Linked DNA regions of Anolis sagrei. The main gene of each other region encodes a partner of the protein of the gene in region 2 in a complex. Links are inferred from orthologs where the notes say so. Each region holds a gene or a part of one and is shown on either strand. Other genes may lie near its edges.

Region 1 (7,971 bases), on a different chromosome or scaffold from region 2:
GTGTATACATGTATCTATGTTCATTTGCATGTAGGAGGAGAAGGAGATGAAGATGGAGGAGGAAATGGAGATGGAGAAGGAATGTGGTGGAGATCATGGAGATGAAGGGGAAGGGGATGGAGATGGAGATGGAGGAGGAATGTGGTGGAGAACATTCACAGCCCATTTCTATCTCCTTCTTCGATATCTATCTATATAATCAAAGTGAAAGTTTGTACACATGTATCTATGCTCATTTGCATGTAGGAGGAGAAGGAGATGGGGATAGAGAAGAAGATAGAGACGGAAGAAGAATGTGATGGAGATCATAGAGATGGAAGGGAAGGGGAAGGAGAAGGAGATGGAGAAGGAGTTGGAGAAGGAGGTGGAGATGGAGGAGGAATGTGGTGGAGATCATGGAAGGAAAATGGAAGGAGATGGAGATGGAGATGGAGAAGGAGTTGGAGATGGAGGAAGAATGTGGTGGAAATCATGGAGATGGAAGGAAAGTGGAAGGAGATGGAGAAGGAGTTGGAGATGGAGATGGAGGAGGAATGTGGTGGAGATCATGGAGATGGAGGAGAAGGCGAGGGAGATGGAGAAGGAGATGGAGAAGGAATGTGGTGGAGATCATGGAGATGAAGGGGAAGGGGATGGAGATGGAGATGGAGATGGAGGAGGAATGTGGTGGAGAACATTCACAGCCCATTTCTATCTCCTTCTTTGATATCTATCAATATAATCATAGTGAAAGTTTGTATACATGTATCTATGTTCATTTGTATGTAGGAGGAGAAGGAGATGGAGATGGAGATGGAGGAGGAATGTGGTAGAGATCATGGAGATGGAGGTGGAGGAGGAAAGTGGTGAAGATTATGGAGGAGGAATGTGGTGGAGAACATTCACAACCCATTTCTATCTCCTTCTTCAATATCTTTCAATATAATCAAAGTGAAAGTTTGTATACATGCATTTATGCCCATTTGTATGTACTGGAGGAGGAGATGGAGGAGGTGATGGAGATGGAGGAGGAATGTGGTGGAGATCATGGAGATGGAGGGGAAGGAGATGGAGATGGAGATGGAAGAGGAATGTGGTGGAGAACATTCACGGCCCATTTCTATCTCCTTTTTCGATATCTATCCATATAATCATAGTGAAAGTTTGTATACATGTATCTATGCTCATTTGTATGTCTTTTCCAAGACGGACAACACTTCCAGAGATCACTGTGACTCCCACCTACCGCAGTTCTGGACCAAACTTGGCACACAGACACCCCATGACCAACAGAACATACTGGAAGGGTTTGGGGAGGAGGGCAGTTGGCCCTGGATGATGGGAGTTATAGTCCACCCACAATCAAAGAGCACTGTGAACCCAGCTGGTGTTCGGTGGGAGCTCTGTGACACCCACTGATGGTGGATCTGGACCAAATTTGGCACACAGACACCCCATGATCAACAGAACATATGGGCAGGGTTTGAAGGGGGTTGACCTTGGAGGTTGGGAGTTGTAGTTCACCTTAATCAAAAGAACGCTGTGAGCCCAACCAAGGATGGGTTGAGACCAAACTTGGCACACAGACCCAGCATGCCCTGGCGGGGTTTGGAGGCGGTTGACCTTGAAGGTTGGGATTTGTAGTTCCATCCAAAGAGCCCTGTGACTCCCACCGACAGTGGATCTGGACCAAATTTGGCACACAGACACTTGATGATCAATAGAACATACGGGCAGGGTTTGAAAGGGGTTGACCTTGGAGGTTGGGAGTTGTAGTTCACCCTAATCAAAAGAGCACCGTGAGCCAAGGATGGACTGGGATCAAACTTGGCACACAGACCCCACATGCCCAACTGGCAGGGTTTGGAAGGTATTGACCTTGGAGGTTGGAAGTTGTAGTTCACTCACACCCAGAAAGCAGTGTGAACCTAACCAAGGATGAATATGGACCAAACTTGGCACGCAGACCCAACATGGCCAGCTTTGAATACTGGCGGGGTTTGGAGGCGGTTGACCTTGAAGGTTGGGATTTGTAGTTCCATCCAAAGAGCCCTGTGACTCCCACCGACAGTGGATCTGGACCAAATTTGGCACACAGACACCTGATGATCAACAGAACATACGGGCAGGGTTTGAAGGGGGTTGACCTTGGAGGTTGGGAGTTGTAGTTCACCCTAATCAAAAGCGCACCGTGAGCCAAGGATGGGCTGGGATCAAACTTGGCACACAGACCCCACATGCCCAACTGGCAGGGTTTGGAGGCAGTTGACCTTGGAGGTTGGGAGTTGTAGTTCACTCTAATCAAAAGAGCACAGTGAGCCCAACCAAGGATGGACTGGGACCAAACTTGGCATGCAGACCCAACATGCCCAACTTTGAATACTGGCAGGGTTTGGAAGGGATTGACCTTGGAGAAGTTCTAGTTCACCCACATCCAGAGAGCACTGTGAACCCAACCAAGGCAGGACTTGGACCAAACTTGGCACGCAGACCCAACAGGATCAACTGGTAGGGTTTGGAGGCGGTTGATTCTGGAGCTTGGGAGTTGTAGTCTAGCCGCGCTCGTTCCCAAACCCCAGAAGCAGGAGGGGCTGCCCCCAGATGGATCCTTGCAGAAGCCCCCCCCCCCCGGGCGACCAAGCGAGTCTGCCCCCCTCCCTGCCTACCTACCGATGATGATGGCACAGGCGCTGACCAAGCCGATCTCCTTCTTGAGGGTGACCCTCTCGGGGGCGCCGGGGGGCTGGGGCGGGGGCTGCTGCTGCGGGTGGGGGGGCCGGGGGGGCTGGGGCTGGGGCGGCGGCGGGTGCGGGGGGGCCGGCTGCTGCTGCGCCGAGATGCTCTTCCTCAGGCTCCGCGGCTGGTTCTCCCCGGCCATGGCTCCCCTCCTTCGCCCCTTCTCTGCCTTCCTGCCTGCCTTCCTTCCTTGGGGGGCTGCGGTGGGGGTGCCCCGCGGAAAGCCCTCCGGCCGCGCTCTGCCTGCCTTCCTTGCCTCACTCAGTCGGGGGAGCCAAGCCCAGCTGGAGCGCTGGCGGAGGGAGGCGCATGCGCCTCTGGCCGGGCTCGGGAGGCGTTGGGGACACTCGCCCCTTTGGCCCCCGCCCATTATTCGCCCATCCAACTCTCGCCCCTTCCCTCCCTCCTGGAGACTGGCTGCGGAAAGCTCCTCTCGCGACCCCGCTCTCCGCCCCAGCTCCTGCCAACCTAGCAGTTCCAAAACATCCACATGGAATGAGATGGGTTGTTGTAGGTTTTTCCGGGCTATATGGCCATGGTTTAGAGGCATTCTCTCCTGACGTTTTTCCTGCATCTGTGGCAAGCATCCTCAGAGGTAGTGAGCATGCTTGCCATAGATGCAGGCGAAACGTCAGGAGATAATGCTTCTAGAACATGGCCATATAGCCCAAAAAAACCTACAACAACCTAGCGATTCCTGCCATGAAAGCCTTCGACAATACATAAAACAATAAATGTAATGGGTTGTTGTAGGTTTTTTCAGGCTATATGGCCATGATCTAGAGGCATTCTCTCCTGACGTTTCGCCTGCATCTATGGCAAGCATCCTCAGAGGTAGAGAGGTCTGTTGGAACTAGGAAAAAGGGAATTATATATCTGTGGAAAGGACTCTTGTCTGCTGGAGCTAGGTGTGAATGTTTCAACTGACCACCTTGATTAGCATTTGATTGCCTGGCAGTGCCTGGGGCAATCTTTTGTTGAGAGGTGATTAGATGTCCCTGATTGTTTTCCCTGTTGTTTTGCTGTTGTAATTTTAGTTATTTTTTAATACTGGTAGCGAGATTGTGTTCATTTTCATGGTTTCCTCCTTTCTGTTGACATTGTCCACATGCTTCTTGTGGATCTCAATGGCTTCTCTGTGTCTTCTGACACGGTGGTTGTGAGAGTGGTCCAGCATTTCTGTGTTCTCAAATAACATGCTGTGTCCGGGTTGGTTCCTCAGGTGCTCTGCTATGGCTGACTTCTCTGGTTCAGGTAGTCTGCCGTGCCTTTCATGTTCCTTGATTCGTGTGTGGGCAATGCTGCGTTTGGTGGTCCCTCTGGAGTCTTCTTGTCCACAGCTGCATGGTATACAATGGTAGACTCCTGCAGAGGTGAGAGGATCCCTCTTGTCCTTTGCTGAACGGAGCATTTGCTGGATTTTCTTGGTGGGTCTGGAGATAGTTTGTATGTTGTGTTTCCTCCTCAGCTTCCCTCTGCGGTCAGTGGTTCCCTTGATGTCTGGCAAGAACCCTTTTCCTCTGGGTGGATCTTGGTCTTGACTCTCGTGGCTTCTTCTCTGTCTTGCAGCTCTTCTTGCCATAGATGCAGGCGAAACGTCAGGAGAGAATGCCTCTAAAACATGGCCATATCGCCCAAAAAAACCTACAGCAACCCAGTGATTCCGGCCATGAAAGCCTTCGATAGCAGGATTGAATTCAGATAGAAGGCCTATGCGTGAGATATGCTATGCATGAGATATGACTTCTAAATATGCTTTGACCCAGCCCTGGGCCAACTTGGGCCCTCCAGGTATTTTGGACTTCAACTCCCACCATTCCGAACTGCCTCTTGCTGCAGATTGTGGGAATGAGCAACAAGGAGGGCAGGCAAAAAAGAAAAGGACAGCTGTGATTATATAAACATAGGTTTCATGAATAGGCACCCCCCCCCCCAATCTGCTGCGCCTGCAATAAATTCCTTTATGATTGGAAGGGAAATAAGCTCTTAAGGGGTTTAGCTTGATTACGAGGCAATATTGGTAGCCAGCCCCAAACAGGCTTGAATGCGGACTATCAACAGGTCCTATTAAATAGGTGATTGCATTGACATAGTTCAGCAGCAGGACACTCCCGAGCTTTGAAATTGTTTTATATATAGCCCCCTCAGCCCGGTCATAGCCAATTTCTACATGGAACACTTTGAAAAGAAAGCCCTGGAAACAGCAACCAAAAAGCCCACTACATGGTTCAGATATGTGGATGACACCTTCACCATTTGGAGCCACGGAGAAGAAGAACTCAACAGGTTGCTGGACCATCTCAACAGTATCCACCCAAACATCCAATTCACCATGGAAAAAGAAAATGAAGGAAGACTGCCTTTTCTGGATGTCCTGGTCATCCGTAAACCAGATCAACAATTGGGTCACACCGTCTACAGAAAACCCACACACAGAGATAGATATCTACATAAAAACTCCAACCATCACCCAAAGGGAATCTGTGAAGCACACCTCCTCCTCCAAAAGGAACTGAACCCCCTCAGGCTCTCCAGGCCAATGGAGACTCCACCTCAGGCATCAGAAGAGCTGCAAGACAACCGAGAAGAAGCCATGAGGGAGCTGCGCCCGTACCTTGGGAAGTCTGACTTGGCCACGGTAGTCCACGCTCTGGTTACATCCCGCATAGATTACTGCAATGCGCTCTACATGGGGCTGCCCTTGAAGACTGCCCGGAAGCTTCAGATGGTCCAGCGCTTGGCAGCCAGGTTGTTAACAGGAGCGGCACTCAGGGAGCACACCACTCCTCTGTTGAGCCAGCTCCACTGGCTGCCAATTTGCTACCGGGCACAATTCAAGATGCTGGCATTAGCCTACAAAGCCCTAAACGGTTCTGGCCCCTCTTACCTCTCCGAACGCATCTCCTCCTATGAACCGGTGCGGACATTAAGATCGTCCAGGGAGGCCCTGCTCTCGGTCCCGCCTACATCACAGGCACGATTGGCGAGGATGAGAGACAGGGACTTCTCGGTGGTGGAATGCCCTACCGGTTGACATCAGACAGGTCCCCTCGTTGCTGGCGTTTTGGAGGAAGATCAAGACTTGGCTCTATGAGCAAGCGTTTGGCTAATCAGTGCAACTGAACAACTGAACACAGGAAGTCGGTAAAACTGAACATAGGAATGGCACAAGGTGGACTTCTGCAGCTGGCAGCTGGTAATTTTGTCAGTGCTGATTGTGTTTAAGTGCAGGCCAAGGTCTTGAGGCACTGCACCCAGTGTGCCGATCACCACTGGGACCGCCTGGCACAAGGATTATGAGAATGGATCTTGCTCTGTTGAGGCGTCATGAATTGATTAGGAATTGATAATAACTGTTGATTTTGTTGTAATGTGTGATGTGTTTTTAACTGTATATTACTGTATAACTTGCACTGTGTAAACCGCATTGAGTCGCCTAATCTAGGCTGAAAAATGCGGTATAGAAATAAAGCAAATAAATAAATAAATAAATAAATGAGAGTCAAGATGAAGGTCCACCCAGAGGGAAAGTGTTCCTGCCAGACATCAAGGGAACCACTGACCGCAGAGGGAAGCTGAGGAGGAAACACAACATACAAACTATCTCCAGACCCACCAAGAAAATCCAACCAATGCTCCATTCAGCAAAGGACAAGAGGGACCCTCTCGCTTCTGCAGGTGTTGACCGTATACCATGCAGCTGTGGACAAGTCTCCAGAGGGACCACCAAACACAGCAGCATTGCCCAAACACACATCAAGGACCATGAAAGGCACGGCAGACTACCTGAACCAGAGAAGTCAGCCCTAGCAGAGCACCTGAGGAACCAACCTGGACACAGCATATTATTATTTGAGAACACAGAAATGCTGGACCACTCTCACAACCACCGTGTCAGACTACACAGAGAAGCCATTGACATCCACAAGAAGCATGTGGACAATTTCAACAGAAAGGAGGAGGAAACCATGAAAATGAACACAATCTGGCTACCAGTATTAGAAAACTCTAAAATTACAATAGCACAACAACAGAGAGGAAACAAACAATCACCTCTCAACAAAGTTTGCTCTAGGCACTGTCAGGCCATTATATGCTAATCAAGGTGGTCAGTTGAAACATTCACCCCTAGCTCCAGCAGACAAGAGTCCTTTGTCTCACCCTGGTCTTTCCACAGATATATAAACCCTTTGCCTAGTTTCCAACAGACCTCACTACCTCTGAGGATGCTTGCCATAGATGCAGGCGAAACGTCAGGAGAGAATGCCTCTAGACCAGTGGTTCTCAACCTGGGGTCCCCAGATGTTTTTGGCCTACAACTCCCAGAAATCCCAGCCAGTTTACCAGCTGTTAGGATTTCTGGGAGGTTGAGAACCACTGCTCTAGACCATGGCCATATAGCCCAGAAAAACCTACAACAACCCTGTTTTATTGATGTCGATAAGTAGCCCCCAGTGGCGCAGCAGGTTAAACCCCTGTGCCGGCAGGACTGAAGACTGACAGGTCGCAGGTTCAAATCCGGGAAGAGTGTGGATGAGCTCCCTCTGTCAGCCCCAGCTCCCCATGCAAAGGGGACATGAGAGAAGCTTCCCACAAGGATAATAAAACATCAAAACATCCGGGCAACGTCCCCTGGGCAACGTCCTTACAGATGGCCAATTCTCTCACACCAGAAGCGATTTGCAGTTTCTCAAGTCGCTCCTGACATGAGGAAAAAAAATGTAGCTAGATTTGTTTGATGTTGTTTTGATCCATGTTTGTCGTTTTTTAGGTAGTTCTTTAGTTGTTTTCCTTTTACTGTGTGATTTTGGGGTGTTTTGGAAGTACTCCTGTTTAATCCGGATTTTTTGCCAGGATAATCCGGATTATTGCCTTAGTTTGTTTTTCAAGCTGGAAATTGCTGCAACTTTTGAGTTTTGACCAGAGGCACTGAAGTAAGTGTCTCTGAGTCTTACTTACTTTGTATTAATAAACTATTCTTTTGGACATACTCCTGAGTCTGGCTCTTTAAGGCGTCTGGGTTCCGACAGGGAAGCTGCTTCAGGTGCAAGAAAAATAAAAGAAAATATAGGAATCATAGAATCCTAGAATCCTAGAGTTGGAAGAGACCTCCTGGGCCATCCAGTCCAACCCCATTCTGCCAAGAAGCAGGAATATTGCATTCAAAGCACCCCCAACAGATGGCCATCCAGCCTCTGTTTAAAAACCTCCAAAGAAGGAGCCTCCACCACACGCTGGGGCAGAGAGTTCCACTGC
Region 2 (7,284 bases):
GGTGCCCCTGCGCCACGTCTCCTGCATGTCCCACCGGTCAGAGGTCCCGGCCTGGATCCCACTCAAGGTCAAGGGGAAGCCCTTCTATTTCCTGCTGGACAAACAGGGGCGGGTGACAAACGCCCAGCTTTTTGACATCACTGTGGGGGCCTACCGCAAACTATAAAGCCCAAGGCTGCCGGGGGAGAAGAGGAACCCTTGCATTCATGAACTCAATGGAAGAAAACCCTTCTTACCCATCCCATCTTACTGCATTTTGAACTGGGATTGTGTTGGGCCTTCAGATGTGCCGACATTGTATTGGATGCTGTGAATAAAAAGATGTAAATAACTGTTTTTCAGTGTTTTGCACGTTTTAATTGCTTTCTGCATTTAATTTTATTTTAATACTAGCATAGGGACTTGGCGGTACCTGGGTGATTTGTTGTGGGATGTTAGGTAATATCACTTAAATCCGGTCCAGTTTGGTCCAGATCCATCGTTGGGTGGGTTCAGTTCTCTCTGGATAAGGCAGAACTACAACTCCCAGATTCCCAGGGCAATCACTTCCAAACCCTGCCAGTATTCACAGTTGGCCACGTTGGGTCTGTGTACCAAGTTTGAAATCAAGGTCAATCCCCCCCCCCCCCCCAAAAAAATCCCTCCAATATGTTTGGCTGGTCATGGGGCAGCTGTGGGCCAGGTTTGGTCCCGGTCCATTGTCTGTGGGGAACATAGTATCTCTGGATACAGGTGAACTACAACTCCCAGAAATCAAGGTTAATCCCTCACCCCCAAAAAACCTCTTCAATCTGTTCAGTTGGTCATGGGGCTTCTCTGGGCCAAGTTTGGTCCCGGTCCATTGTGGGGATCACATTATCTCTGGATGCAGGTTAACTACAACTCCCAGAAATCAAGGTCACCCCGCCCCCCAAACCCAAACAAACCCTGCAATATGTTCAGCTGGTCATGGGGCTTCTCTGAACCAAGTTTGGTCCCAGTCTATTATCTGTGGGGATCACAATGTCTCTGGATGCAGGTGAACTACAACTCTCAGAAATCAAGGTCAGTTCCTTTCCCCCCAACTCCTGCAGTTTGTTCAGTTGGTCATGGGAGTTCTCTGTGCCAATGTGGCCCAGATCTGTCACTGGTGGGGTTTAGAATGCTCTCTGGGATTGGCGGAGTCTACTTTGATTTTGGGAGTTGTAGTTCACCTGCATCCAGAGAGCACTGGACCCAGCCAATGACGGATTTGGGCAATACTTGGTGCGTAGACCCAACATGAACAACTGTGAATACAGGCAGGGCTTGGGGATGATTGCCCTGGAAATCTGGGAGTTATAGTTCACTTGCATCCTGAGAGCACTGAATCCAGCCAGGGATGGATCTGAACCAACCTGGCACTGCCGGGTCTCCAGGTTAGTAAAAACAACAACAGAAGAAGAAGAAGAAGAAACAATGTCGTTCCATAAGGAATTTGGATTGTGTTGTCAAAGGCATTCAGGGCTGGAATCACTGGGTTGTGAGTTTTCCGGGCTGTCTGGCCATGTTCCAGAAGCATTCACTCCTGATATTTTGCTCACATCTATGGCAGGCATCCTCCGACGTTGTGAGGTCTGTTGGAAAAAGGGCAAGTGGGGTTTATACATCTGTGGAATGTCTAGGGGTGGGAGAAAGAACTCTTGCCTGTTTGAGGTAGATGTGAATGTTGCCATTGGCCACCATGATAAGCATTTAATGGCCTTGCAGCTTCAAGGTCTGGCTTCTTCCTGTCTGGGGGAATCCTTTGTTGGGAGGTGTTAGGTGACCCTGATTGGAATTTGGATTGTTACGATGGCCAGATAGTTTTGGTTTCCAATATATTAAAGGTGAGCTGGGCCTAGCTTCCAAAGCCTTTTTTGTCCCAGACGTGTGGCATCTGCACTATAGTATTAATTCAGTTTGACACCACTTTTTTTTGCCGTGGTTCAAGACCATAGCTTGTAGTTTTGCAAAATCTTTTGCCTTGTTTTGCAAAAAGATGTATTTTCACATATAATGTTAACATATTTATATATCCTTTTAAAGATGCGGTGGTATTTCCGCATATTGTGTCGATTTATTTCCTTTACCATAATGAAATGCGATGGTATTTCCACATCAATGTCAATTTATGTACTCTTATAGGATGCAGCAGATAGAAGATGGCTTTGAAAAGCAGCAGATCACAGGAGCTATCTTCATAGACCTGTCAGCGGCTTATGATACTGAACCACCGCCTCCTCCTGAGAAAAATGTATACCATCTCAAAGGACTACCATCTCACCTGTCTCATAGGAAACCTGCTACAAAACAGGAGCTTCTTTGTTGAGTTCCAGGGCCAGAGAAGCAGATGGCGGAAACAGAAGAACGGCCTGCCTCAGGGGAGCGTGCTTGCTTCATCCATGTTCAACATCTACACAAATGACCAGCCACTGCCAGAAGGGACAGAGAGTTTCATCTATGCTGATGATCGTGCCATTACCGCTCAAGCAGGGAGCTTTGAGATGGTTGAACAGAAGCTCTCCAAAGCTCTAGGTCAATGATGGGCAACCTTTTGAGCTTGGTGTGTCAATATTTGCCAAAAAAACGAGCATAATTTGGGTGGGGTGACACTTCGAGAAAAAACCCATAATTTCATTATATTTGTAGTTTAATAACAAAAATATATTATTGTAATATATAACTATATTTAATAATCCAAAAACTATATCTCGGCATTATAGAAAAATGCTGGTGTAGGAGCCGAGGATGAAATGTCCTTCTTGGAATGTATGCGGCCACATGCAACCGTGTGTCATTGAAAATGGCTACGCGTGACAGTGCTGACACACGTGTCATAGGTTCGCCATCATGGCTCTAGGTGCTCTAACTGCCTATTACAGGGAAAATCAACTGATCCCCAACCCACCTAAAACACAGACATGTGCTTTTCACCTCAAGAACAGACAAGCATCCCGAGCTCTGAGGATCACCTGGGAAGGAATCCCACTGGAGCATTGCAGCACACCCAAATACCTGGGAGTCACTCTGTAATATATAACTGTATTTAATAATCCAAAAACTATATCTCAGCATTATAGAAAAATGCTGGTGTAGGAGCCGAGGATGAAATGTCCTTCTTGGACCATGCTCTGACCTGCAAGAAGCACTGCCTGAACATCAAGCAAAAAGTGGGCGCTAGAAACAATATCATACGAAAGCTGACTGGCACAACCTGGGGATCACAACCAGATACAGTGAAGACATCTGCCCTTGCGCTATGCTACTCTCCTGCTGAGTATGATGCCCAGTGTGGAACACATCTCACCACACAAAAACAGTGGATGTGGCTCTTAATGAGACACGCCGCATTATCACAGGGTGTCTGCGCCCTACACCACTGGAGAAATTACACTGCTTAGCCGGCATTGCACCACCTGACATAGAATCATAGAATCATAGAATCAAAGAGTTGGAAGAGACCTCATGGGCCATCCAGTCCAACCCCATTCTGCCAAGAAGCAGGAATATTGCATTCAAATCACCCCTGACATCCGCCGGGAAGTGGCAGCCAATAGTGAAAGGACCAAGGCAGACACATCTCCAGCTCATCCCTTGTTTGGGTATCAGCCAGCACGTCAACGACTTAAATCAAGAAATAGTTTTCTTAGATCTACAGAGACACTCGCTGGAACACCTCAGCAAGCGAGAGTCCAAAAGTGGCAGGCTCAAACCCAGCACCTCAATCCGTGAGTGATACCAGATGAGAGACTCCCCCCCGGGCACACAGAGGACTGGACGACTTGGAAGGCGCTGAACAGACTGCGCTCTGGCACCACGAGATGCAGAGCCAACCTTCAGAAATGGGGCTACAAAGTGGAATCCACGACATGCGAGTGTGGAGAAGAGCAAACCACTGACCACCTGCTGCAATGCCACCTGAGCCCTGCCACATGCATGATGGAGGACCTTCTTGCGGCAACACCAGAGGCACTCCAAGTGGCCAGATACTGGTCAAAGGACATTTAATCAACTACCAAGTTTGCAAAATTTGTGTTGTTTTAAATCTGTTTGTTTGTTTTGTTTTGTTAGAAATGTAATACAATGTTCTGGTTGCGGATGACACGTTAAATAATAAATAGGATGCGGTGACATTTTTACATATAATGTCGATCTATTTCCCTATTTCCCTGCCTTTCTCCTTCCCTATTTGGTTGCCTAGGCCTGACTTAGCCATGATGCTCTTCTGGTGGGTTGCCGTGCTGCGGTTGCCGTGCTGCGGTTGCCGTGGAAACGCCCATCCTCGCCAGTGGAGCCAAGATGGCCGCCCCAAAGGCAGCAGGGGAAATGGGAGGAGGAGAGACCCCCATTGTGGGGCCAGGAAGGACGGAGCCGGAGGAGAAGAGAAACCGAGGTGAGTTGCAGGAAGCGCCCACCTACCTATCCATCATTTCCTTTTTAAAAAATAGTATTTTAACATAATTTTGTGGAATATTTCTTTTAATTTTTTTTCCAAAGAGTATGGTAGGGATACAGGGAGGGGTAAGAGTGTTAATAATAATAATAATAATAATAATAATAATAATAATAATAATCTATTTGTACCCTGCCACCATCTCCCCAATGGGGACTCGGGGTGGCTCTCATGAGGCCAAGCCCGACAACGTGATACAGTAAATAAAATGAAAACACAAACAACAGCATAAAATATATTAGTACATTAATATATCATAACAAATATGGAATAGCTAAAAGTTTTCCGGGCCGTCTAGCCATGTTCCAGAAGCATTCTCTTCTGACGTTTCACCCACATCTATGGCAGGCATCCTCAGAGGTTGTGAGGTTTGTTGAAAACTAGGAAAATAGGGTTGATATATCTGTGGAATAATGTCCTGGGTGGAAGAAAGAACTCTAGTCTGGGTTGTTGTCGTTTTTTTCGGGCTCTATGGCCATGTTCTAGAGGCATTCTCTCCTGACGTTTTGTCTGCATCTGTGGCAAGCATCCTCAGAGGTAGTGAGGTCTGTTGGAACTAGGAAAATGGGTTTTCTATATCTGTAGAATGACCAGGGTGGGACAAAGAACCCTGGCAGTGCCTGGGGCAATCTTTTGTTGAGAAGTGATTAGATGTCCCAGATTGTTTCCTCTCTGTTGTTTTGCCATAGCAGAGCACCTGATGAACCAACCTGGACACAGCATATTATTTGAGAACACAGAAATGCTGGACCACTCTAACAACCACCATGTCAGACTACACAGAGAAGCCATTGAAATCCACAAGCATGTGGACAATTTCAACAGAAAGGAGGAAACCATGAAAATGAATAAAATCTGGCTACCAGTATTAAAAAACCCTAAAATTACAACAACAAAACAACAGAGGAGAAACAATCAGGCACATCTAATCACTTCTCAACAAACGATTGCCCCAGGCACTGCCAGGCAATCAAATGCTAATCAAGGTGGTCAGTTGAAACATTCACACCTAGCTCCAACAGATAAGAATTCTTTGTCCCACCCTGGTCATTCCACAGATATATAAACCCATTTTCCTAGTTCCAACAGACCTCACTACCTCTGAGGATGCTTGCCATAGATGCAGGCGAAACGTCAGGAGAGAATGCCTCTAGAACATGGCCATAGAGCCCGAAAAAAACTACAACAATCCAGTGATTCCGGCCATGAAAGCTTTCGACAACTCTGGTCTATTGGAGGTAGGTGTGAATGTTTCAATTGGCCACCTTGATTAGCATTTAATGTGTAGCCTGACATGTTGGTTGTCAAAGTGGTCCAGCATTTCTGTGTCCTCAAATAACAAATCTACATAGGGACCACCAAACGCAGCAGTGTTGCCCAAACACGAATCAAGGAACATGAAAGGCACTGCAGACTACTTCAACCAGAGAAGTCAGCCATAGCAGAGCACCTGATGAACCAACCTGGACAAAGCATATTATTGGAGAATACAGAAATGCTGGACCACTCTCACAACCACTATGTCAGACTACACAAAAAAGCCACTGAAATCCATGAGCATGTGGACAATTTCAACAGAAAGGAAGAAACCATGAAAATAAAAATCTGGCCCCAAGTATTTAAAAACTCTAAAATCATAACAGTAAATAAAGAACAACTTTCAGGGGAACTCCAGACAAGAAACAACCAGGGACAGCTAATCACCTCTAAACAAAAGATTCCCTCAGGCAGTAAGAAGCCACATCTGAAACTGCCAGGCCATTAAATGCTAATCAAGGTGTATTGTCGAAGGCTTTCATGGCCAGAATCATTGGACTGTTGTAGATTTTTCGGGCTATATAGCCATGTTCTAGAAGCAGGCAACCTCTAAGGATGCCTGCCATAGATGCAGGCGAAACGTCAGGAGAGAATGCTCAAGGGAGTGCATTTTTGAGGCACCTACGTCTGACAGATGTCCACCTGAGTTGATCCAGATGGCCAATAGATCTGACCCTGATCTGGTGTAAAGGAGCCCTTTGTGGATCGTGCCAAGGAATCGAATGTCCGGACACCGGAGAGGAGCAGGGTGTCCTTGCTGGGTGCCCTCTATACTCTCAGTAATCCAAGATATCTTGTTTCCTAATCTGATTGGCATGAGCCTTCAGTAATGTGCACCCTTCCATCATACTCTCACATCTTTCACCTGCTTTCCTTTCCTCCATTTCAAGTTTACTTTAATTATTAATTTCTATTATATTTATTATTATCATCACTATTATTTTAATTTCTATTATTATATTTATTTCTGTTATATTTATTATTTTAGTTTCTATTATTATATTTATTTATATTCTATGTATTATTGTTATTTATTTTATTTACATGTACATAACAACAACATAATAACATGGACAACACCGGCTCTTCGGCTTAGAAATGAGGATGAGCACCAGACCCCAGAGTCAGACATGACTAGACTTAATGCCAGGGGACAACCTTTTTTAACCTACATAACAACACAGCACACATGCACATTAGATCTTAATTTCTATTATTATTATTATTGTATTTATATTTATATATCACCTTTTCCCTCAAAAGGGATTCAAAAGTGGTGAACAGTGGTTAAAATCATAAGACTATAAGCATTAAAATGGAATGTAACCTAGTTCTATTTAAAATGAATAATTAAAAGCATTTCATCCAATTTAAAATGTACAAAACACCACAAAATAAATGCAGTTCTAGCTTTCATTAGACATACTGGGCATGAGCACATTAAATTAATGAACTTTAGATCATTGAATGAATTGAGCCACAATGACAGGTGGGTAACACATGTATATTATTAT
Region 3 (7,941 bases), on a different chromosome or scaffold from region 2:
CAGATCTTTGTTGCCAGTGTGATGTGTTTACTCTTCAATATTTTATCGAGATCAGTCATTGTTGTCCTCCCAAGAATTAAGCATCTTCTGATTTCCTGGCTGCAGTCTGCGTCTGCAGTAATCTTCGCACCTAAAAATATAAAGTATGTCACTGCCTCTGCTTTTTCTCCCTATATTTGCCAGCTCTTTGCTGTAATGACAAATTATTTACTTATTCCTAATTTTAATCTGTTTATGCATATAATGCTTTTTAACTTTTTAACTGTGCCACCGGGAGCCCCCGGTGGCGCAGTGGGTTAAATCCCTGTGCCGGCAGGACTGAAGACCGACAGGTCGCAGGCTCAAATCTGGGGAGAGGCGGATGACCTCCCTCTATCAGCTCCAGCTCCTCATGCGGGGTCAAGAGAGAAGCCTCCCACAAGGATAATGAAAACATCAAATCATCCGGGCGTTCCCTGGGCAAGGTCCTTGCAGACGGCCAATTCTCTCATACCAGAAGTGACTTGCAGTTTCTCAAGTCGTTCCTGACATGATAAAAAAACTTTTTAAAAAACATTGAAAAAGAAAGACAGCTCAAACTGACTAAATCGGGGCAATCATAATTTGGACATATCATAAGATGTCATGACTCATTGGAAAAGGCAGCAATGCTTAGTAAAGTGGAAAGCAGTAGAAACTGAGGTACACCACACTACAAATTGAATTAATTTGGTTAAGCCATATCCTGAGTTTCTAAGACTTGAGCTGGATAGTTGATCTTGGGAAGTGCTCACACATAGGATTGCCACAAGATGGACTTGCTTGATGGCAAACAACAGTAACAACGACAATGTTATTTTTAATTCATTTCTTTCCACCTCTAGTCAGTGACTTTCCTCTGCCATCTCTAGTCTTTCCCTCTTTCCAAACATACATGGGAAGAAATGATGGGAATGCTCTAAGCAAAAAATATTATCCATGCACAATCTAATGGGAAAGATTTACTATGAGGCTGATCTTTAATTTGTGGTGTGAATTATAAGGCAACATAACAGTGAAATTGCTAGCATCAAACCACTACAGAAGGAAAGACACCTGTACTCCAAAGTATCCCCGAGCATATTGCAAGACATTTCCAAACCAGCCCTCACCTCCAGATGCTTGTAAAGCTGCTTTTAATTGTAGTATAAGATGACAATGATGATGATGATATAAAGTGAAGTTGGTTTACTTGTTAACTGGTTTTGATATTTTCCCACTCTGAATTGAAATGGAGGGACCATCTGGAAAGCTCTATAGGAGCTTGAGTTCTTGTGACATAGTTTTTAAGATTTTAGTTCTATGTCCATTCACTACATTATTTTCAAGGAACTGCTTGTAGCACGTTATTATAATGATTCCAAGGTTTTTTTTAAAAATCAGGGTACAATTTAATGATGTGATTCTGTGGGGTTTCAAGGGCAAATTTTCTCCTCTTTGAAATTAAAATAATTTTAAGTTATAAAGTAATAGTTCTAAATTGTATTTCATAAATGAACTATAGTAATATAATTCTACACACAATACATAAAAACAAGAAGGGAATATGGGACTTGGTTGTACAAAGTTGCTATTCCATAGCAGTTACACTGACATTGATGATAGATACATACTGGGATAGATACCTTCTACATTACACTTCTTTTCATTTGTGGAATTGCACCAATTTGACAACTTCTACACACTCTTGTAGGAGCTGTGGTGGCGCAGTGTGTTATTTATTTATTTATTTACTTTATTTCTATACCGCTTTTTTCAGCTCTTAAACCGTTAAACTGCAGAACTTGCTGATTGGAAGGTTGGCCATATAAATCCGTGTACGGGGTGAGCTCCCGTTGTTAACTCAAGCTTCTGCCAACCTTGCAGTTCAAAAACATGCAAATGTGAGTAGATCTATAGGTACCACTTCAGCAGGAAGATAACATTGCTCCATGCAGTCATGCCAGCCGCATGACCTTGGAGGTGTCTACAGACAATGCTGGCTCTTCGGCTTATTTATTTATTTATTTATTTAACGACAGTTAGAAATGGAGATGAGCACCACCACTCCGATTTGGGCTCAACTCAACTTAATGTCAAGGGGAAACCTTTACCTTTGTAAAGGTACCATTACCCTTGTAATGCTGCCTTTCTCCTTTCTCCTGTTCTGTATTTTTTTTAAAAAATGAGGGAATTTTGCAAACATAGCTGTAAAATATCAAATACTGTACATAGAAAACAGACAGCCTGAGAATAGTGAAGGGAGAGGGGGAAAATTACTCCCCTGTCATCATTTTACTGCTGCCATGTTGGCATAGAAGTCAGGTGGACCCATTGCACCAAGCTAGGTGATGAGAATGTCCTGGGATTGGGAGCTATTGATGGGGTTTGCACATCAATAGCAAAAGATGAGTTAACTGAGGTTTGAAGATGGGGATTAAAATACCACAGCTGGTGACAAATGTGTCAGAAAATAGTCCAAGAGTCCTAGAAGTAGAGCAACAAAAACTCCAGCTTCTGATACATCTGAAAGAGCCCTAAAATGTAAATAAACAAGGGAGAAAGAAAGATAATGAAATATGAAACTCAAAACATGTAAACATTAGCAAACTGGATTTACACAAGATCACTTACTTCCAAATTATTATGTGGAGTCCTTCATTCCTTTCCCTCCATTCCATTTTCATCTCTATCATTTCTCCTGCTGAAATGTACTATCAAAGCAGAGTATGGCTAAACATTATGCTTGATTATTGTGGTGAATTAAGTAATCTGCCAGTATAATGAATTAATTAGTACTCTAATGTTAATACCCTTTACAGGGCCTGGCATTTCTTTGACATTAACAAGATACACTTGCAGAAAGAGAGATTCTTTGAAGGAATTTCAGCCTAAAGTCAGTAGGCACAGTGCCTGCGTTCTCTTTAATGATCAGTACTTAGTATTCCAGGTTAATCCTGATTGGCAACTTAGTGTTTCTATAGAAAGAAAAGAAAAACATTTCCCTGGTTAATGAGGATTTCTTTCACTCTCCTAGACAGGATTAATTTAAATGGAGTAACACGGTCGAAAACCACCATTTTAATAGATATTTCTTTACACGTAGAAGTCTTTCTGCAGAATTTCCAATGAAGGACTCCTGCGTGGAACAAGCCAGGAGAGAGAGAGAGAGAGGAGGGGGAGGGAGACCTCCTTCTTGTTCTTCCTGTTCCTCTGCAGACCTTGTGATAGCTTCATGTTCCAGACATCAATATTTTGGGGACTGTTTGTTCTTCTGTATAGATTAGCCACTTTAGGCAACTACTTTGGGAATATTTCTTTTTATTCTTTCACCCAGCAACTGTGAATAGCCTTCACATACAGGCTGAAATGCAGAGTATGCATTGTATTGCACTAATATGCATATCTCTAAGGAACACTGTCAAGAAGGCTGACATTCATACTTGCCTTTAAGCATATATGACTCATAAGAGCTCACAATGACCTATTAGAGAATGCACCAAATGATGCAACTTAAGCACAGGAAATTAAACTATGGTAATTGAACTTTGGGAGTGTTCTGATTTCTGGATACAATACAAATTGTCTCTCCTCCTGATCAAGATATGGTCAAATGCAGGCCAGGGGAGGCACCTCACGGTTTTCTAATGATCACCTTGAGTGTCCTCTATTTTGACTGCCTGATGCGGAACAGCAAATATTGCTCTCTGCCATGCCTACAGGGCATATAGATCCTAAAGATAGCCAAATTATTTTGCCACATATATTCTGGGTATCAAAGTTCAAGGAGAATATTGACAAGCTAAAACATGACCAAAAGGTAAAAGACCTGGAAACAAAGACCCATGAAAATCAGCTTGAGGAGCTGGGTATGTTTAGCTTGGAGAAGAGGAGAGGTAACATGATATATGAATATATATGATATATGAATATATTTAAATATATGAAATAATGTCATATTGAAGATAAAAGAAAATTAATTTAGTTTGCTTCACAGACTAGGATACAAACCAATGAATTGAAATTATAAGAAAAGAGAACATTAGGAAGAACTTTGTTAACAGCTGTTGGACACTGGAATAGATTTCCAGGGAGATCAGTTGACTTTGGTGATCTTTAAATAGAAGTTGAATAGCCAGTTTACAGTAGTGTTTTAGTTGTGTATTCCTGCATGACGGGGCTTTGCAATAGAGTCCAGGCATGGGCAAACTTTGGCCCTCCAGGTGTTTTGGACTTCAACTCTCAGAAATCCCAGCCAGTTTAACTGGCTGTTAGGAATTGTGGGAGTTGAAGTTCAAAATACCGAGGGCTAAAGTTCGCTCATGCCTGCACGACAAAACTATCCTTCTCAAGTCTATGATTCTATGAGGCAAATAATCTCACCAGTAGCTTTGTGCCCTATGCATCAATTCTAGCAATGTTTAAAGTAAGATACCACTGTTAAGAGCTATTTTGATGTGACCTGGGCCATGTTTCAGGGAGCCATTAGAAAAAAAGTAATAAAGATAGACACCAAATACATGAAAGAATTATCAAATTATGTAAAATTAGCCATTATTAGCCTAGACTGACTGAGTTGCTAGGAAACAACAGAAAGCAACAAGGTTGACATGTACTCTTGTGAAAATATATGTGGTCCAAATCAAATTATCAACAACAACAACAAAAGAATGCACATAACCTATAACACCTCCCTACAGTTAAGGGAATTGAATTTCTTTCTGCACTTTCTGAAGTGTAGGCAGATTTTTAAAATAACAATAAACAAAAAATAAACAGACATGGCACTATTTATTTGCTCTGTTTTCTCCTCTTTGTATTTCAGCATTTATAAGGTGCACTGCTCCCACCCCATGTTGGAAAAGAGAGTTTTGTTTCTCACTGAGATTCTATCATTGTTTGGGAGTGTGGCAATATAGTAAACCTTGCCACGAGGGATTGCTTACGGGGAATTTATTTCCCCCTTTCTCAAGTTGTGCAACATCCTGCTACTGTAGTAAAGGGGAAAAGTGCTGAGTAATGCTAGATTTGGATCCTGCTCCTATGGCTGATGCAAACCTGGAGAATTTGCATCATCATTCAGCAAGAGTAACTTGGTATGACAGGCGAGCTTAAATACAAGACCATGCGGAAGCTGAGCCGGCTTCCAATGACAGAGCGGCATAAAGGTGGCTGGGAGAAAGGGCAGGTGTTCCTGAGTAGTGTTTAGACAGCCGTCCAAAGTAAAAGACACTTGAAGAGTTTGATACTTGTTGGCACAAGTGGGTTGAAAGGCTGCAGGCGGTGTGTGTTCGTGTATGTGTGTTTTTAAAGGAGTTAGCTAGTTAGACAAAAGGAGGGAGAGAGGAAAGAAAGACCCGAGGTGGCTTTCTGTTCAGAGAGCTTTTCAAAGTTCTCAGCTTGGTGTGTGGGCAGCACCAAAACATGTTTAGGAAGTCTCCTGTGCCGACAATCTCTAATGGCAGCTACCTGCAGGGGCATTCAAATGGCACATTGCCCTCTGGCTTACACACCAAGGCGGCCCAGAGAGAGAAAGTGGTGCTGAAGAAGAAAGTGACTTTGCTGAGAGGGATATCTATTATAATTGGCACTATCATTGGAGCAGGGATCTTTATATCTCCCAAAGGAATCCTCGAGCACACAGGCAGTGTGGGCTTATCTTTGACGGTCTGGACTGTCTGTGGCATCCTGTCACTCTTTGGTAAGTTTGTGAGCATTCATAATTGATCCACTGGGGTAGATATAAGATATTTGATTCTGGGGATTAAAAGCCTGGTTTGAGACTTACTTGTACTGCTTCAGTATTTTATTTTATTTTTTGGTGGGAGGGAAGAAGGTCTTTTGCTGCTTGGCAAGCATTCAGATACTCACACAAAACTCCGAGGAATACTTTTATCAGAACTTTTAACACCAAGCGATATTCCTTACAATTCCCTGTAGTAAGCGGAGAGGCTAGTCTCCTTTAGCATATCATAAAGTTTGCAGTCTGTATTGACTTTCTGTTGAGAATGAGTTGTAGCATGCTGGTGGAGGGTTGACAGCAAGGGAAATGAACTGCTTAGTCTGAAGAACACCTGCGAATATGCGCGTCATTGGCTATACAAAATGCAATGGGGTAAACGTCTGCTGAACTATTTTCTAGCAGGAAAGCAGTGGTGTGGATGAGGGAATAATTAAACTGCTTTTTTTTAAAATAAAGAGTTTACATTTTCAAATCCATTTGGAATTTATGCATGTGGAATTGGAACGCCTCACCACTTATCCTTAAATGTCAGAGAGACTTCTTTCATGAAAGATAGGCCCCTTGCCTACACTTATTTATTTTATTCTGTTCAGTTGTCTAGCAGGTGTCATTTTTGCAGGTTTCATTATTCATGGATTTGATTAATATGTTCTCTCTAGGAATCTTTAGGTCTTCCAGAAAAAGTCTATGGTCAACCGTTACCATAGAGTCATATTGTAGGAACTTTAGAATCTTAGGGAAGTATACTCTTGGGGAAAAATATAATGTTTTTTGCGTTGCTGTGAGTTTTCCGGGCTTTTATATTGAGTGCCTTCCAAGTCGTCCAGTCTTCTGTGTGCCGAGGGGGAAGTCTCTCAATCGGTATCAGCTATGGCTTGAGGTTCTGGGTTTTAGCTTGCCACTTCTAGACTCTCGCTTGCTGAGGTGTTCCTGCGAGTATCTCTGTAGATCTTAGAAAACTATTTCTTGATTTAGGGCATTGGCTGGGTCCCCTCAGCCTCTGAGGATGCCTGCCATTGATATGGGTGAAACATCAAGAGAAAATTCTTCTGGAAGTTGGCCATGTAGCCCAGAAAACTCACAGCAACCCAGTGATTCTGGCCATGAAAGCCTTCAACAACATAATCTTTTTTTATTTGTGTTTTTCATTTTTGCGAGGGTCTTGTGTCCCTAACTCCTATGGATGCAGAGGGCTGCCTTTATTAGTTAACACATAAGCATTAGGCCTGGGCGGTTTCATTCGTTAATATTGTAATTCGTTAAATATTCGCTAATTTTAGCAATTACAAAACGATTACAAAACTTATTTTTAAACCCGGAAGTGTTTTTAAATATTGAAACGGCAGGCGCCAAAAAAATTTGTATTTCCGTCCATTTCGGAAATACGTAAGATGGCCTGGCGATGCTTGCTGGGAGCTCTCCTCTCTCTCCTCTCTTAGCCAGTCAGAGGCAGAGTCTGAAAGAGGAGGAGGAGGAGGAGGAGGAGAGGGCGGGGAAGGCACCGGCTGAGCAAGCGAGCGAGAGGGCGAGCGAGAGGGCGAGCGAGAGGGCGAGCGACCCTCAGCGGGAAGGCGGCCCGTCCCTCCTTCCTCACCTTTGCGGTGGGTGTGCTTCATTCTCCCAATTCCTTAGTGGAGGGCTGTGCTTCGTTCTCCCAATTCCTTAGCGGAGGGCTGGGCTAGATGGCCTTTGGGGAGCCCTTCTCCCAATTTCGCATTGCTTTGGAGGAGCCGGGCCCGACTCGGCGGCAGCGCTTGAGGGCCCGCCAGAGTGAGTGCCTGCCTTCCCTCCTTAATAATAATTTCTCCTCCCTATTCTACTAAATTAATAATTAAATTAAAAAATATTGAAAAAATATTGAAAAAAAAGGGCGCCATCTTTACAAAATGTTTTGTAAATATTAACGAAATTTCGTAAATACCGAACTTTTTTAAGGGAAAATTTTGTAATTATTTTAAATATCGAAACAAAAAAACCCCCCAAATACAAATTGATTTTAGAAACAAATTTTTGCGTTGTTACCCAGGCCTAATAAGCATATTTCATCTAATGAGCTCAATACTCTTCTCTGTCTCTAATGCATTGTCACAACAACTCTGTGTGGTAGGTCTGTCTAAGAAAGCTGAAGGCAGTCCATGAAATGTATCTGAACCCAAGTGAATTGATTGGCTCAGTGCAAATTGGAACTGGGGTTTCCAGAA
Region 4 (7,997 bases), on a different chromosome or scaffold from region 2:
CTCAGTGCTATGGAATCATGAAAATTGTAGTTTGGTGAGGCATCTGCACTCTTTGGCAGAGCAAGCTAAAGACCTTGTCAGATTGGTGAAACTGAGGCCCCTTCTACACGGCCATATAATCCAGATTATCAAAGCAGATAATCCACTTTGTCTTCTTTTAACTGGATTATATAAGGGCCCTTCCACACAGCCCTATATCCCAGGATATCGAGACAGAAAATCCCACATTATCTGACTGTGGACACAGATAACCCAGTTCAAAGCAGATATTGTGGGATTTTCTGCCTTCGTATTCTGGGATATAGGGCTGTGTGGAAGGGCCCCGAGTCTACATTGCTAAATAATCCAGTTCAAAGCAAATAATCTGGATTTTATATGGCAGTGTAGAAGGGACTTGGGAGAGGAACATATATCTGTCAAAAGAAGAGGTCAGGAGCAAAGGATGAGCCTGTTAAAAGTAAGGTAAGAAATGCAAAATAAAACCCAAGATGAACTTTGCTTTGGGAAAATAGAGGCTCAGGCTAGGCTTTAGTCATCTTCACCCACTCACTCTCCCTATTTAGAAAATTACCCAAGGAACTGAATGGAAGAAGCAGAGCATGAAATGTACATTTTCAATCAACTTGTTATCATGGCATGATGGAGAGATGTACTTTTAGTGTACTGTGGCTCAGGAAAGGAGAGAAGAGCTCAAACGCTAGGTGTACTTTGGAGTGCTAGTAAGGCTTCTATGGAAAGGGAAGTCACAGTTTTTCAAATGTCCCTCAAAGTGCTTTTTCCTCCATTCCACAAAGTGTTTGTTTCAGTGGTCTCCTGGCACCTGATGAAACAGAGCCATCTGGAGTGGGGTTGATGGAGCTGGAATAAAAACACTCCAAGGCAGGCACTTCAAGGCACTGAAGTGAAAAACAAACTCCTGTGACCAAGAGGAGAACTGCTAGGACGTGCTCTGATCTTGCACAGCTGTGCTGGTAAGCCTTCAAGCCAGAGTCCATTGGGCCATGGCACCCCAGGCTTCCAATGATAATACTCTTTTTCCCTCCCTCTGAGGCAGGGTTAATTGGAGGACATAACTGCTTGTCCGGTTTAGAAACCCAGCTACTTTTTGGCAGAGGACACTTGTGTACTCAGAGAAGACTTGCCTGACATGGATCTATTAACCCATGGGGCAAAGCAGCTTTGCTGGCTGACATCACTGTTTGTTTCTGTAATTCTTCTGGGCCAAGAAAGGTGTTTATTCAAGTTTCACACACTGACGGCTTAGGTTCCAACATTCCTAGGATGGGACACAAGAACCTGCAATTGAGAGGTTTCTAATATGTAGAATGATTTAGGGTGGAGTACAGTGCCATAAAATGGGAAGTGGCCAAGAAAATGGTTTTTATTCCAACAGAGAACTAAAACAAGCAAGGGTTAGGAGGAGTTTAGAGGCTGGCCTTGGAGCTGCTTTAGGGAGGAAAAGACTAGCCGTAACCAGAGTGGTAATGCAAACCGACAACTATCAGGTGTTTAGAGACAGAAAAGGCAAGGCACAAAAAGCAGCAGCAGTGGTTAAAACTGAAAATGAGGATTAAAACATGCAACTAAAAATACTTTTGATATTCCATTCTATTCTCAAGAAGTGAGAAAAAAACAGAATACAGAAGAACACAAGGTGTCCCCCTCTAATGTCTGCTTTCTTGTTGATCTGAGAGGATAATGAGCAAATTATTTTATCTTATTCAAAGAAATCATATCCCACCAGAATCCTCACTCACCCACAATGATGCCGCACGCGCTCATCAGTCCAATCTCTTTCTTGAGTGCGACACCACCGCCGTCTGATTTATCTGAGTTAGTTGAATTCTTCTCAGCACCACCTCGTCGGCGTGCTCCATCCTCCATGATGTTCTGGCTTCCAAGGCAGACCCTGGAGTCTTGTGATAGATTCCCACACAAGATTTAAGGCTTTGGATTTGGTTCTCCCAGAATTTGAGCCGCACTAGTTCTATTCCTGGTGATCCAACTATGTTCTTGAATCCTTTGGGAAAGGGCCTATGCAAGGAGCAAAGTATACCTCCCAGGAGCAATGTGTCTTGTAGTCCAATTTGGGACTTATGGGTGCAGCTCTTTACTGTATAGACTTTGAAACTGGGCTTCTATTTTGAGAATCAAAGTGTCCCAATTACCTTTCAGAGCTAGTCCTTCTCTCCGATAGTTGTTATCTCTTTCTTAATTCTAGTTCAGCCTACCTTGGTTCTCACACCAATTCTGCTAAGACTGAGCTGGCTCTCTCTATTGCCCTTTGGTATATGCGTGCTAGTAGTTAACCATTTTTTGGTCCAAGCTGATCTTCCTGTCTATGAGGTGGGAGCTCCAATCACAGCTCCTGATGGCGAGGAATTCCTTTCTTTCTCTCTCTCACGTTTCGACGGTTTCCTTCTGCAAAGTTTCCCCTGAAGTCTAGGAGGAGAGTCACAATAGCGCGAGGAAAGCGACTGGTTTGATCTTGTTTGTTCAGCTCCCACGCGTCTATCACAGAGTCAGTCTAATCAGCAGCACTATCTTAGATCTTCCTTCTGGCTCAGTTTTGTAAAGAGATCCCTGGAGTGTTCTTTGCCAGGCTATTCTCTCATCACAGCTGGCTCTCTCTCTCCTTTGGATTGTTGTTGATAAGCTCGTTTCCTTGTTCCGGCTGAGATTTTTTCTCTCCCCACCAAACGCCTTGGCTTCTCATTCCCTTCCTCAGCTCAGTTCCTTCTCCCTCTCCCCGCTCCCCTCTCCTGGTGTTTTTCTCTCTCTGGGTTGCTCATGTGCCTGAACCTGAACCGGCTTCTGCCGGACGAAGGGTGTGGTGGGGGTCAGTCCTTGATTCCAGGAGACATCGAGCCAGACTCCTCCTTCCTCCCTTACCTTCCTGCTCACATCAATAGGAGCTGAATCAGTCAAAAGATCCCATTTTCATCGCTCTCTCTCTCTTCTTCCCAAACGGAGACTCAGCCATCTCTGCTTGGCTTGCCTTTCCTCATGTTAGATAACAGCCATCGTGTTCCATCCATCCACTGTTTCAGGGCGAGGAATATACATTAGTTGCAGTGATACCAGCTCTGTACCATACCTGTTTATATTAGTTTATATGAGCCTTCATTACCAGAAACTAAGAGTGGGTCTACCCTGTAAAATTAATGTAATTTGGACCTCACTACCTCTGAGGATGCTTGCCATAGATGCAGGCGAAACGTCAGGAGAGAATGCCTCTAAAACAGGGGTCCACAAACTTTTTAAACAGAGGGCCAGGTCACAGTTCCTCAAACTGTTGGAGGGCCAGATTATAATTTGAAAAAAAACATGAATGAATTCCTATGCACACTGCACATCTCTTATTTATAGTGCAAAAAACACTTAAAAACAATACAATAATTAAAATGAAGAACAATTTTAACAAATATAAACTTAATAGTATTTCAATGGGAGGTGTGGGCCTGCTTTTGTCTTTAGATAGGATTGCTGTTGTTGTGTCATTCAAGTCATTTTCAGACTTTGGTTGACCCTGAGCGAGGGCCGGGTAAATTACCTTGGAGGGCCATATCCGCCCCCCCCCCCCCGGGCCTTAGTTTGAGGACCCCTGCTCTAAAACATGGCCATATAGCCCGAAACAACCTACAACAACCCAAAATTAATATAGTTTAACCCTACTTTAGCTGCCATGAGTCAATGCTATGGAATCATGGAAGTTGTGGTTTTGCAAGATCTCTGCCCAAAAGTATGGGTACCTCCCTAAACTACAAGTGCCATGATTCCTTGGCATCCAGTCATGGCAGAAAGTGGTGTCAAACTGTACCCATTCTACAGTGTACATGCACCCTAAGGGATTTCTAGACTATTCCCAGACTGCCACCCATTTTTGTGAAATCTCGTGGCAGGTAGTTCCTACAGTCAATAGGTGCATAGTTTCTGTAAAGAAAAATGCTCATTTTTCTCTTGTATGGCATAATCTTATTAAAGGATACCTCAATCTGATCATTCTTTTATATGTCTCATCACTCCCCTCTTTGCTTCTCTAAATAGCTTGAAGTGCCTGCACAAACTCCATGTTGTAATTGTCGAAGGCTTTCATGGCCAGAATCACTGGGTTGTTGTAGCTTTTCGGGTTGTATGGCAAGGGGTCCTCAAACTATGGCCCAAGGGCCAGATACAGCCCTCCAATGTAATTTACCCGGCCCTCGCTCAGGGTCAACCTAAGTCTGAAACCGCTTGAAAGCACACAACAACAACAATCCTATCTCATCAGCCAAAAACAGGCCCACACTTCCCACTGAAATGCTAATAAGTTTATATTTGTTAAAATTGTTTTCATTTTAATTATTGTATTGTTTTAAGTGATTTTTGCACTACAAACAAGATATGTGCAGTGTGCATAGGAATTCATTCATTTTTTTTTCCAAATTATAATCCAGCCCTCCAACAGTTTGAGGGACTATTACCTGGCCCTCTGTTTAAAAAGTTTGAGGACTCCTGTTCTAGAAGCATTCTCTCCTGGCGTTTCATCTGCATCTGTGGCAAGCATCCTCAAAGATTGTGAGGTCTGTTGGAAACTAGGCAAGTGAGGTTTATATATCTGTGGAATGTCCAGAGTGGGAGAAAGAACTTTTGTCTGTTTAAGGATGTATATGTTGGGTCAACTAGCATTTCAGAGTTTCTAACTCCCAAAGTCACTCTTGTCTGTTTGAGGCAAGTGTGAATATTGCAGTTGACCACCTTGATTAGCATTGAATGGTCTTGTAGCTTCAAGTTCTTTCTCTCACCTTGTACATCATTCCACAGATATATAAACCTCTCTTGCCTAGTTTCCAACAGACCTCACAACCTCTGAGGATGCTTGCCAAGATGCAGGTGAAACGTCAGGAGAGAATGCTTCTAGAACATGGCCATACAACCCAAAAAACTTACAACAATCCATGTTGTAATGTTATAAGACAAAATTGTAAAATTTTAAATTCAGATGTCTTGGGGATCTTACATTCATAGAGTCACTGTAAGTGAGTTGAAACCAGCTTAATAATAGAAGGGAAAAAAGGAAAAACAAGATAATGTTGTTCTTAATTAACATTATTATATATTTCCCCCTTTAATTACAGTAGGCTATTGGTATGCCCTGGGGTTGGGTTTCCAGGACCTCATGGGGATACCAACATTTATGGATATGCAAGTCCCATTATATACAACTAGCCATCACCTGCCACACATTGCTGTGACCCAGACTGGTGATCTGGAAAATAAAGTAATGAGAAAGTGTTGGTTTTTAATATATGTAATTTCTCCATGCTTGTGGGTAAACAGTATTTCTTGCTGTTTCTTTGTCAGTGTTAATGTGGAGATTGTTTGGTTTGCCTACTCTGGAGCATGCAACATATAATTGTCCTTCTTTAGGGGTCCCTTTCAAATCTATGATACTATATCTGTGTGTGTGTGGATCATATATATCTATATCTATGGCTGGATGGCTCTTTGTCAGGAGGACTTTGATTATGTTTTCTTGCCCTGGTGAAGGGAGTTGGACTGGATAGTCTTAAGTATTTTCTGTTGGTCATGGGGGTTCTGTGTGGGAAGTTTGTCCCAAATCTGTCGTTGGTGGGGTTCAGAATGCTCTTTGATTGTAAGAGAACTATAAATCCCAGTAACTACAACTCCCAATTGTCAAGGTCTATTTCCCCAAACTTAATCCGTGTTCATATTTGGGCATATGGAATATTCATGCCAAGTTTGGTCCAGATCCATCATTGTTTGAGGCCACAGTGCTCTATGGGTGTAGATGAACTACAAGTCTCAAACTCAAGGTCAATGCCCACCAACCCTTCTAGTTTTTTCTGTTGGTCATGGGAGTCCTGTGTGCCATGTTTGATTCAATTCCATGACTGGTGGAGTTCAGAATTCTCTTTGATTGTAGGTGAACTATAAATCCCAGCAACTACAACTCCCAAATGACAAAATCAATTTTTTTGAGTGATGGTCACTCCTTGGGTGAATAGGTGTCTTGTGCCCAAATTTGACGGCAATTTGTCCAGTGGTTTTTGAGTTATGCTAATCCCACAAACAAACATTACATTTTTATTTATATAGATGTTGTGGCAAATGGTTTCCCTTCTATTAAATGGCAAAAGAAACTTTTGTTTCTGGGAAAATTTTCAGGACAAAATTTCAAGCAGAGTGGTTGAATCCATATATACGGAGGGGCAGATGTACTTCTAATGCTGCATGCAAGTCAGATTTGGGTTCTGCCTGATTTCCCCTCAATATTTATTCAACTGGCACCCAAGGTGACTTACAATATAGTTTGGAACAAAATACAGTTAAAATGTATAATTATGAAGCTCTGAAAAATTGAATAAGTAATCTTGTTAAAAACACCAATTTAAAACACTTTGAATTTCTGTTAAATTTCTTCCTTTCCACGATGGCATTTTCTTATGCTATTTCAAATTGCAAAAAGCCTCACATGAGAGGCAGATTTCTCCCTGAAGTACTGGAAATTGTCCTGGTATGTAATTTGTATCTAAATTGCTGCCCTTCAGCTTGGGCATTTGAGATAAGGAGGCATGCTGAAAAATTATACATACAACAAACTATCCTTGGTCAATAATAGCAATCTTTTTACCATTGACGTATTTGTCTGCTAACCCACATACTGTGATTCACTGTGGGGTGCTTCAGTTTAACCACATTTTGATCAATATACATAGTCCATTTCATTAATTGCTTTCATCTTTTTTTTCTTCAGATATTTGGGCATTTCATGTACATAAATATGTGAGGAAAATGGGTGGCTGTTTTGCTCTTTGTGTGTCTGTGCGAGCATCTACACTGAAGAATCAATGAAGTTTGACTTTCTCATCACTCAATGCTTTGACATTCTGGAAGCTGTAGTTTTACAATATCTTTAGCTAAAGAGGGCTGGTGTCTCAGCAAACTACAGCTCCCAGGATTTCATAGCATGGAGCCATGGCAATTAAATTGGAGTCAAACTTTAATTCGATAGTCTAAATGTACCCACAGTGGTGTGTTTTAGGAGATAACAAAATTTAAACCAAGGGTGCATCTACAAATTTAACTTTAACTTCCATGGCTCAATGCTGTTGAATTATGGGAGTTATAGATTTACAGCAAATTTAGCCTTCTCTGCCACATAATGTTGTTGCTTTAGCAAAATAGAAATGCCAGGATTCCATAGCACTGAGCCATGGCAGTTAAAGAGATGTCAAATTGTATTCATTCTGCAGTCTAGATGCACCCTGTGTGCATGTGTTTTAAGTATTGGAAAGTATCATCAAAGAGGAAGAAATGAGACAGTTGGCAAAAGGAGAAAAGCAATTGAAATTGAATAAGGACCAAAATGACAGAACTTTTTGGCACACACACCCTTTCTGCCTTGCTATTTTGCTTCCTTCTTCCCCCGCACTATGTTCCATCCCTTCTGTTCCTTGTCCCCAATTCCCCTTGTTTGTGACATTCTCCTTCTCTCTGCTGATCCTGCACCTTCTCTTGCAATGTGGGGGTGAAGTCCAATCTTTGGGGAGCACCTTGACTCTTTTATCATCATATCAGCCGGAACAGAAAAGAACAAAGGTCAGGGCTGGGAGGGAGAGACGATAACAGCAAAAAGAATAAGAAAGCAGCCTCTGGGGGCAGAGGAATGGCTCATCAGCAAGAATTGTGCCGCAAACAATTTCGAAAGGGATAACTCTGTTGCAAGAAAACCACAACAAGAAGAGGTCCTGTAGCACCTGGAAAACTGGCACAGTATCCTGGAATTTGAGATTGAGGACTACAAATAGCTTCAGAAACATCAAACTGCATTTGTGGGAGGAGACGTTGGTTAGCTTTCAAGGTGCCGCAAAATTCATCGCAAATAGTACATTTAAATAGTAGGAAGAGCAAAATAATAATAATAAAAAGGAGGCTAAAGTGAAAAGGAAATAAGTAAAAACTTCATTATACAGTACATCCGCAGGGGATATGTA

Evidence for each region.
Region 1: the proteins of SLC3A2 (region 2) and SLC7A10 are in contact, whole or in part, in a cryo-EM structure (PDB 8WNT), measured with the Homo sapiens proteins. The link is inferred for Anolis sagrei from reciprocal best matches to the Homo sapiens genes SLC3A2 and SLC7A10. Residues at the interface, in NP_002385.3 of Homo sapiens: Phe161, Thr162, Gly163, Leu164, Lys166, Leu169, Leu170, Val172, Ala173, Trp178, Arg182, Leu186, Phe189, Trp190, Trp193, Met196, Leu197, Ala200, Ile203, Ile204, Ala207, Pro208, Arg209, Cys210, Arg211, Glu212, Leu213, Arg534; in NP_062823.1 of Homo sapiens: Leu147, Val150, Phe151, Asn153, Cys154, Pro157, Ala160, Val163, Leu164, Met166, Ala167, Met170, Leu171, Trp174, Ser352, Val359, Glu481, Thr484, His485, Trp486, Gln488, Glu489, Leu490, Phe492, Val493, Val494, Tyr495, Gln497.
Region 3: the proteins of SLC3A2 (region 2) and SLC7A11 are in contact, whole or in part, in a cryo-EM structure (PDB 7P9V), measured with the Homo sapiens proteins. The link is inferred for Anolis sagrei from reciprocal best matches to the Homo sapiens genes SLC3A2 and SLC7A11. Residues at the interface, in NP_002385.3 of Homo sapiens: Glu167, Leu170, Ala173, Trp178, Thr181, Arg182, Phe189, Trp190, Trp193, Met196, Leu197, Gly199, Ala200, Ile203, Ile204, Ala207, Arg209, Cys210, Glu212, Leu213, Lys299, Arg534, Gln559; in NP_055146.1 of Homo sapiens: Leu151, Phe154, Phe155, Ile156, Gln157, Cys158, Glu159, Pro161, Leu163, Ala164, Leu167, Ile168, Ala170, Val171, Thr174, Val175, Val178, Gln217, Gln219, Val360, His373, Thr487, Gln489, Ile490, Ile491, Glu493, Val494, Val495.
Region 4: the proteins of SLC3A2 (region 2) and SLC7A8 are in contact, whole or in part, in a cryo-EM structure (PDB 7CMI), measured with the Homo sapiens proteins. The link is inferred for Anolis sagrei from reciprocal best matches to the Homo sapiens genes SLC3A2 and SLC7A8. Residues at the interface, in NP_002385.3 of Homo sapiens: Thr162, Gly163, Leu164, Ser165, Lys166, Glu167, Leu170, Ala173, Gly174, Trp178, Arg182, Leu185, Phe189, Trp190, Trp193, Met196, Leu197, Gly199, Ala200, Ile203, Ile204, Ala207, Arg209, Cys210, Arg211, Leu213, Lys532, Arg534, Asp558, Gln559; in NP_036376.2 of Homo sapiens: Leu147, Leu150, Phe151, Pro152, Thr153, Cys154, Phe155, Pro157, Ser159, Gly160, Leu163, Leu164, Ala166, Ile167, Leu170, Leu171, Trp174, Gln294, Ser352, Met356, Val359, Glu481, Thr484, Leu485, Gln488, Lys489, Met490, Cys491, Val492, Val493.

Annotation. Positions count from the first base shown.
Region 1 is NC_090028.1:43,362,117-43,370,087, forward strand, and holds the start of SLC7A10 (asc-type amino acid transporter 1), read right to left. Parts: upstream 3,013-7,971; 5' UTR 2,858-3,012; coding exon 2,650-2,857; intron 1-2,649. UniProt on the Homo sapiens protein: Associates with SLC3A2/4F2hc to form a functional heterodimeric complex that translocates small neutral L- and D-amino acids across the plasma membrane. Preferentially mediates exchange transport, but can also operate via facilitated diffusion.
Region 2 is NC_090032.1:12,314,956-12,322,239, reverse strand, and holds the start of SLC3A2 (amino acid transporter heavy chain SLC3A2), read left to right. Parts: upstream 1-4,272; 5' UTR 4,273-4,299; coding exon 4,300-4,393; intron 4,394-7,284. Other genes in the region: TMEM223 (transmembrane protein 223), read left to right, coding at 1-166. UniProt on the Homo sapiens protein: Acts as a chaperone that facilitates biogenesis and trafficking of functional transporters heterodimers to the plasma membrane.
Region 3 is NC_090025.1:44,305,103-44,313,043, reverse strand, and holds the start of SLC7A11 (cystine/glutamate transporter), read left to right. Parts: upstream 1-4,928; 5' UTR 4,929-5,421; coding exon 5,422-5,698; intron 5,699-7,941. UniProt on the Homo sapiens protein: Heterodimer with SLC3A2, that functions as an antiporter by mediating the exchange of extracellular anionic L-cystine and intracellular L-glutamate across the cellular plasma membrane.
Region 4 is NC_090026.1:9,145,798-9,153,794, reverse strand, and holds the start of SLC7A8 (large neutral amino acids transporter small subunit 2), read right to left. Parts: upstream 3,010-7,997; 5' UTR 1,885-3,009; coding exon 1,758-1,884; intron 1-1,757. UniProt on the Homo sapiens protein: Associates with SLC3A2 to form a functional heterodimeric complex that translocates small and large neutral amino acids with broad specificity and a stoichiometry of 1:1.